2 linked regions of the Zea mays genome follow. The protein of the gene in region 2 purifies or fractionates together with the protein of the main gene of each other region. This does not show direct contact. Links are inferred from orthologs where the notes say so. Each region holds a gene or a part of one and is shown on either strand. Other genes may lie near its edges.

Evidence for each region.
Region 1: the proteins of WD repeat-containing protein 33 (region 2) and probable cleavage and polyadenylation specificity factor subunit 1 fractionate together in Arabidopsis thaliana (co-fractionation; 3 studies listed by BioGRID, with this or other methods). This does not show direct contact. The link is inferred for Zea mays from reciprocal best matches to the Arabidopsis thaliana genes FY and CPSF160.

What each region holds. Positions count from the first base shown.
Region 1 is NC_050097.1:87,239,509-87,243,324, reverse strand, and holds part of probable cleavage and polyadenylation specificity factor subunit 1, read left to right. Parts: coding exon 1-182; intron 183-265; coding exon 266-394; intron 395-491; coding exon 492-665; intron 666-3,816. UniProt on the Arabidopsis thaliana protein: CPSF plays a key role in pre-mRNA 3'-end formation, recognizing the AAUAAA signal sequence and interacting with poly(A)polymerase and other factors to bring about cleavage and poly(A) addition.
Region 2 is NC_050098.1:151,286,530-151,291,114, reverse strand, and holds the start of WD repeat-containing protein 33, read right to left. Parts: upstream 3,115-4,585; 5' UTR 3,015-3,114; coding exon 2,804-3,014; intron 2,546-2,803; coding exon 2,454-2,545; intron 2,249-2,453; coding exon 2,180-2,248; intron 1,771-2,179; coding exon 1,666-1,770; intron 35-1,665; coding exon 1-34.

The sequences.
Region 1 (3,816 bases), on a different chromosome or scaffold from region 2:
TGGGTCTGCACATGGAGAACGATGTTACAAGTGGTGGTGACCTCCAAGAGGTCTATACTGTTGATGAATTTGAAGTTCGTATTATGGAGTTGGGAAAATCCAATGGACGTTGGGAGACAAGGTCCACCATTCCGATGCAATCATTTGAAAACGCTTTAACAGTGCGCATCGTTACCTTGCAAGTATGTATGTCTTCTACACTTGTATGGATACTGCACTCAAACTAAAATTTTATTTACCAGAATATTATTGATTTTCGCCTCAGAACACATCTACGAAGGAAAATGAAACCCTGATGGCCATTGGAACTGCTTATGTTCAAGGGGAGGATGTTGCTGCTAGAGGACGGGTGCTTCTGTTCTCTTTCAGTAAAAGTGAAAATTCTCAAAATCTGGTGAGCATTATTGGACTTCTTTGGATAAAAATTTCTTAGTTTCCTACTGGCATTTCAACTAACACTCTTTATCTGGTTACCTGTTAATTTGTTTCAGGTTACCGAAGTCTACTCAAAAGAGAGCAAAGGTGCTGTATCTGCTGTTGCCGCTCTTCAAGGTCATCTACTGATAGCTTCTGGTCCTAAGATCACACTGAATAAATGGACTGGCTCTGAATTGACTGCCGTTGCATTCTATGATGCACCATTGCATGTTGTGAGCCTGAACATTGTAAGTATTGTAAATACTCTTTATTTATATGTGGTGCACGAAGGGGCTTTCATTTGAGTTGGTTAGGTGGTCTGAGTAGCACTCAGATCCTGAGTTCGAATCCCAGTGGGAGCAAATTTCAGACTGAGGTTAAAAAAGGTCACTCGCTGGTTCCTTTAGTTGTGTGCACACATGGTGGACTGACCTATGGGGGGGGATCCTCGTGTAGGGGTTGGAAGGGTTCAAAGCATGAGTACCAATCTGACTTGTAGGGGGCACATCCTCATGCTGCACGGGGGTAGCTTTCGTGACCTTTCTTGGTCGAGGCTCCGATTGAGGTTCTTAATATAGGGGGTGTTTGGGACTACTTTGCTCCACCAACTCTAACTCTGCTCTACCAACTCCATCATAGAGCAGCTCTTCTCTAGAATTGAACAATATTTTGATGTGTTTGGCTTGTAACTCAACTCCATCTCTAGAAAATTGAGCTTTTATTAAAAAATGTCTTTGTTATTCTTACGCTGATGTTGTATTTAAGATTTTTTTTTCAAGTATAAAAATATTATAATGCAACATGTAGGCGATTTACAGGTTGGATATTGATCGATTTCAAGTATAATTTTTTTGTAAGCTATTGTTTTTCTCGAAAAGCGCAGGAGAACTGCACTCCAATATATTATATCAGAAGGGAAGGGGAAAGAACCCCAGATACAAAAACCCTCCTTACAGAGGATGGAATTGGTGAGGCGTTCAGAGGTTAGCTTGTGGTGGAAGATCCACTTGCCGGTGACCACGTTGGTGCCTGGTGGAAACGGCACCAGGTCCTAAGTGTGGTTGGCCAGCAGGGTCACGTACTCCTCCATGGTGCGACGCTAGTGAGGCTCGGCGCGAACGGAGGATGGAATTGGTGAGGCGTTCGGAGGTGCGTCGAACGTCAGGACCAATCGCTCGACGAGGCGGAGAACGCCGGCCGCCCGACGAGTCACCATCGGGTGAATGTGGCTGGGTTCACGGTGGATGGCTACCGGGTGGTACACCAACGGCTTAGTGTGGGAATGAGCCGGAGGGGTAGCGGTGACCGAAGTAGTGGGCCGCTCGCGACTGTGGTAGACGATGGTGGGGTCGTCGAAGCGAGCCAGGCGAGGGCAGACGACGGGGCCGCACCGCTCGTCGACGGGGTCACACGTGGCGTGGGTAGGGGTGCGAGCGGTGGTGTCTTGGCTGTGTGTGGCACTGGTAGAGGCACGAGCCGGGGCATCTGGATCGCGCGTGGCGTGGGTAGAGGCGTGAGAGGTGTCTGAATCGGGAGGGGCCGTGGTGGAGGGACAGGATCAGACTGATGGAGGGAGTCGAGATCGGCAGGTGGGGAGGAGCCAGCAAGGGGAAAAACATCTTTGTCAAAAACAACGTGACAAGAGATGAGGATGCGTTGGGATAGCAAGCACAACCGAAAACATGAAGGTGGTCATAGGAGGAGGCGGCTGTGCATATAGGGCAAAGTGGTGAGTGGGGTGGCTCACCGCCTTCGAGGGGAGGCGATTGAGGACATGGCTCACCGCCTAGTGGTGGTGCGAATGATGCGTTCGGCCAGGCCATTATTGGGAGAGATGTAAGGGCATGAGAGACGCAACTGAACGCCGTGGGAGAGAAAGAATTAGCAAGAGGCGGAGTTGTTGAACTCGCGGCCATTGTCACACTGGAGGGCATGGACCGGGCCACGAAACCAGGTGGAGGCCCAGGCGAAGAAGTGGGTGTGAGTGGTGAACGTGTCGGACTTCAACCGAAGCTAGAAAGTCCATAGAAAATGAGAGAAATCATCCAAAATCACCAAGTAGTATTTATATTTAGAAAGACAGTACAAGAGAAGCCCAGAGATCACAATGAAGATCAAAAGCCTGCTCAGCCCGAGCGGAAGCAGTAAATGGGAGACGAGTATGGCGACCTAACTGACAAGCATGACAAAGACCCTCAAAATGCCCGCTACTACATGGAATATCTAAACTACTGGTGAGATTGGTCATGACGTCGGTCCTGGGTGGCCGAGACGACGATGCCAAGTGGTAGAGGAGATGGTGGAGGCCAGGATGGGTGGGGAGGACGCGCCGGTAGAGGGGCCCCGAGATGTCACATCGTGCGAGAGGGTCCTGGTGGCTAGATCCTTCACAAAGAAACCAAAAGCGTCAAACTCAATGGAATAAGAATTTTCGGCGGTGAACCGACGAACGGAAAGAAGGTTGTGAGTAATATGTGGAGCTACGAGAACACTCTTGAGATAGAACGGTCCTTGGAGAACCGAGGCACCTATTGAGGTGACCGGGAGAGTGGAACTGTTCCAAACAACGATCGAGGAGGGATGGGAAGAGAGGGGGATGGGAGCGAGAAAGCGTACCCGCGGTGGAGGTGGTGTGGTAGGATGCACCAGAGTCAACCACCTATTCGGAGGGGAGTGGTGTCATCACCATGGTGCTGAAAGCAGCGATGAGGGAGGCTGAGTCGCACCCTCCAGTCAGCGGGGACCAAGATGTCGGGGTGGGGGTCCTCAGAGGCGGGAACGAGGGCAGAGCCGGAGTCGTCGGAGGCACGCCATAGGGGGACACCGTCAGGAGGGCCGGCGTAGGAGGACGAGGCAGGGAGGCACCCGGGGCCTGGCTCGGCCACATGGAGAACAACGGCCACGCTCGGCCGCCACCCTGACTGGAGGGACCACTTCGGGTGGAGCAACCCTTGCGGAGACGACACCTCCGTCGGTGGTGGGAGCCAGACGAGGGGCCGCAGGGACGACAAGGGGAGGGTGGATAGGAGCCCCGGTTGACGAAGGGCGAAGGGCCTGACCCCCCGCAGGTGCATGACCACCGGGAAGCTTGCTGTAGAGAGTGGGCGCGAGTGTCTCAGTCTCCATGGTGAGCTCCTCGAGGAGAAGCTTGTTGCGAACGGCGTGGAAGGTGGGGAAGGTAGCAGTTCTCTTGATGAGAGCCTTCAGGTGGCCGTAGCGGGGGGCTGAGGCCACGCAGAAGGTTCAACACCAAGGTACGGTCGGCGACGGGCTCGTCGAGGCCGTGGAGAGAATCCACCATGCCTTTCATCTGGCGACAATACTCACCCACGGAGAGACCCCTCTGTGTAGAAGCAACCTTGATCCACATACGGGGGTCCACTGAATACATAAGGAAGT
Region 2 (4,585 bases):
ATCCAGTGATAAGTCGACGGCCTGTAGGGGTCCACTTTATCCACAAATAAAATTGTATTATACCCCAAGTGGATGAAAATAATAGAAGTGGATGGATGTTGATTAAAGTGATAATTATGCTACAGATTGTCATAATCAACAAACTAAAATAGACAAAATTAATAAGACAGCACAGTTTCTTGACAATATTTACCTGGTTTGTAGTGTACTCAGTGATTTCAAGTCGTCCGACTAATCGCGATTAGTCGCGATTAGTCGGACTAGTCGGTCCTGTTAACACGACTAGGGAGGCCGACCCGATCAGCTCGACTAATCGTCCGGTCGTCCGATTAGTCGTCGACTAAACACGATTAGTCGTCCAGTTTAGGTCGGGACGATTAATTTTCCAGGGCTCCTGTTTCGGCCTGTTTGGGATATGGGCTGGACGGCTGGGCCCATTAGTGTAACAGTAAAACACACGTTAGGGTTTAGGTCACCTTCTCCTCTCCTGTTCCGGTGGCTTTTTGCTCTTCTCTCCTGTTCAGGTGGCTGTGCCTGTGCGGCGGCTCACCTCTCCCTGTGCAACACCGGTGGGTACCCTCTGCCCCCTCCTTGTTCCTCAATGTGCTCACCTGCTCACCCTTTTCCTCGGTGGCGGCAGCCCTGCACCTTCCTCCTCGGCGTCAGCAGCTCACCGTCCTCGACGGCGGCGGCCCAACAGCAGTCTGCAGCGGCGGCGGCCCAGCAGCCATTAGCACCAAGATGAGTACATCAACCGACGGTAACTTCAATCACTGCACCTTTCTTTTGATCTGTCCCCCCTCTTGAATCCCCTCTGCACCTTTCTCTTGATCTGTCCCCCCCTCTTGAATCCCCTCTTCAATCTGCTGCTGCCTTAGCCACGATTAGTCGACCTAGTCGTCGTCCTAATCGCGATTAGTCGCCTAGTCGCCCAGGTGTGTCGACTAGCAAGTCGCTCGACTTGAAATCATTGAGTGTACTAATGCATAAAAGAATAAATGCTCATTTGTAGCAGTTTTTACCAAGATCACAAGGCAAGGCTTGGATGAATTTACCAAAATGCAATAGTAATTTGCATGTAGCATTGCAAATTTTGAAATTCTGACTAGTGATCAGCCCAGGATATAAGTGGTAGATTCTAATATTGTATTATTGTTAATCATGAATGGCATATCAATGAGCATATTTATCCAACTGTAAGCAGTTACAGGCTTTTAAAAATAACAACTTCACAATAGTAATCCATAATCCATATGGTTGAAATATACACCTAGAGATGAATTACATTTCATAGAAATCCTGATAGAGCTAGCTTCGCGGTCAGGAAACAATAATAGTTTTGAAGGAAAGCAATCAGATTTCAGTAAGTGGAAGAAAGGCTTCAAGGATGGTATTTTGCTGCAATCACGTAGGATAAATGTGTCTCTCAGACCCTCTCTTAGCTCAAGTTTCTTCTATGGTGTATCTCTACTGTCTACTCTAATTTTTCCCCTTGGTGTTGCTAATTGCATTTATGTATAATCGCTTGGTATTGCTAATTGGATTTATGTATAACCAACAGCAAGCTGTTGCTTGACTTCTGAGAATACAAGTACATAACAGCGAAATGTTCAATGTGGATTATTGAGAAAGCAGAAAAATAGGTTACAATACTCAGTTACTCACCAAGACACGATTAATAGAGCACCGGTTCTTATTGATTGACGAATGTACAAATTTGGCAGCAAAACTTGTTGAGGGATTGTCTGGATATGCGACAGAAGGTAACATCTGCAATTCGTTAAAGCTATCAAAATAAGTTTGTAACAAGAACTAGTCATCAAGATCTTTGATTGGTTATTAGGATTAACGGGATTTTCTGCATAACATACTAACATAGAGTAACTATCCATGTTAAGATTAATTGAAGAATTACTAGCATGATAATTATTCGTATGCACTTTTTGTCGAACTTCACTATTATGGTGCACAATAGTATTGTGTCCATTGTATGCTAGATTCACATTTAACACTTCAATCCGTAAGAATTTCGTATAACATCTGATTGCTCGTGATTTCATACAGATGAAGGTATTTATCAAACATAGGTACTATCTTCTAAAGCTTAAACCAATCAATACTCATAGCATAGGCAACTGCCGCTCCATTTTTTTAACATATTACGAGTGAAGGAACATACATCCAGGACAGCTGCTGGAGTTGGCTGCAATGTGAATCTATCCCTAGCGTCCCGCTGCCACATGCGAGCCTGCAATTGTACATAGTGGAAATCAGCACTACTGATGGGATGGAAACTGCATGTAACAGATGATAAGCATGCATTACAAATTCAAACTAAGATATAAACAGAAACAGAAAAAATATAAACTTTAAAGGATCAAAGTCCAGAGTCCTCCGAAATAAACTCTGTATGATTATGGATATCCAAACAAAAAAATAGCAATCCAAACAACCTGAACATAACGGACAACACTGCTTGTGTAGTCCACTGTTCGTCGCTGGACAGGCTTCCGCATCCTTTTAGCACCAAAACTGTCACCATAAGCTGCAGAGAATCAAAATTACAATGTGATTTGTGTAGTTATGATATGCAAAGGTGGACCAAGAAGTCTACAGTTAAATCTCAAGAAACTCCCGGTATGTTTAACTTTTAAGTGGCAGTTGATCTCACACTCTTGAGTTTATACGGACTGGCAGTAATAAGGCAATACCTGCGACCTAATATAGGTATCTACCTACTCTTCCCCTGACCCTAGAATGGAGGGAACAACGACTACCAGTGAATGAAATGTTTAGCTGTTACCGTCGTAAGGAGGCTGATGCTGCTGCTGTGACGGGGGGGCCGGGTGTGCGGCGTAGTCGGGCGGGAGATTGGTGGAGGACGCCGCGGACAGCTGCCGCATCGGCGGGCCGCGGTAGAACTCGCCACCGCCGCCGCCACCGGCGGCGGAGGAGGCTTGGGGCGGCGGGTGCTGCGGCGGAGGTGGAAGCTGCTGCTGCTGCTGCCGCATCATCTCCGCCGCCTCGCCGTCGCCGGGAGGGGAAAAACGCCGAGGAGGGGCTAGGGTTTTGGATCCGTGCGGCGGGAAAGGGGTCGGCGGCTTCTGGGTTCGGCGTCCGTGAGACGATGGGTTCGGCTGTCGACGAGCCGAGGTCGAGGGAGCCTAGTTCCCAGCTTGAGCTCAGCCGCTAACTCGAGCCGACCGGCGGCGCGTGTTTCATGCCTAGCTCGATACAAAGTCCGCTTGAGTTATAAACGAGCCAGTCGTGAGTCGGGGCGCGATCTGTGGTGACCGGTGAATGTGAGCATAACTAGCTTGCAACCAGGACGTTTGGATCCTTCATTTTAAAAGAATTGGAATTCACTCAATAAAGCAACTTATTTAGTTTAGAATTTGGTATTCCACCACTTTCCAAAGTTCAGATATAAGCTTATCTCAAATTCATAGGGTGGAGGATAGGAAATGATTTTATACATGAGTAGAATTTGTTTCTACTCTGTAACTTACATGACATTCTTCGTTCCACTCCTCTATAGTAAAAATGTAGCACATAAATATGTAGGACATCTTGCTAATAATAGTATACAAATATATTTTATATAAAAACGAATTATCTTAATTGATATATGCCTAAATTATTATTATTGGAATAGAATTCAATTCCAGTAATCCAAACGGGGCGTTACAGTTTTCTGCAATGCTATCTAGATCTTAAATTTTCACACAGACATGTATTTTGAAAAGTAATATGATGACTCACTTTTCAACACATTCAAAACACTCAGACTGAACCGAGAAGTCTTGATATTATAAAAATCATCATAGGTGCCTTGTTACCGGTAACAATCAAATCAAAGTTATTAAAACCTAACATGGTTTACTCGCACGCCCGTGTTTGGCGGATGTGTTTTGCAAAAAAAAACTCAAACTCTTAGGAAATTAACCTGCCATTCACGCCTCTTCTCTTCCGCCTCCGCCGTCTTGGGCTTGCCTCGCGCATTTGCTTTCAGGACCTTCTCTCCGTGCTCCGCCTCCTCGCCCTCCTTCGCATCGCCGAGATTTGCCGGCGTGGCAGCCTTTCCGAGTCCAAGCCCTAGCGTCCACGACTTTGCTCCTAATCGTGCCACTCACTCGCCTCGCATTGCCTCACTAGGGTTTGTCGTTCCCATCACAGGCAAAGACGGAGCAAGGTGACCCCCGTCGTGCGCGGCACCTCCCGAGGCTGGGCCCCTCCTGTCATATTCCCCTGTGTGGCATAGTCCACTGCTGCCAGGGATGAGAAGTGTCGGGGACCATAATTAGGGGTACCCCCAGGACTCCTAATCTCAGCTGATAACCCCCATCAGCACAAAGCTGCAAAGGCCTGATGGGCGCGATTAAGGTCAAGGCTCAGTCCACTCAAGGGACACGATCTCGCCTCGCCCGAGCCCAGCCTCGGGCAAAGGCAGCCGACCCCGGAGGATTCACGTCTCGCCCGAGGGCCCCCTCAAGCAACGGACACACCTTCGGCTCGCCCGAGGCCCAGTCTTCGCAGAGAAGCAACCTTGGCCAGATCGCCACGCCAACCGACCGTATCGCAGGAG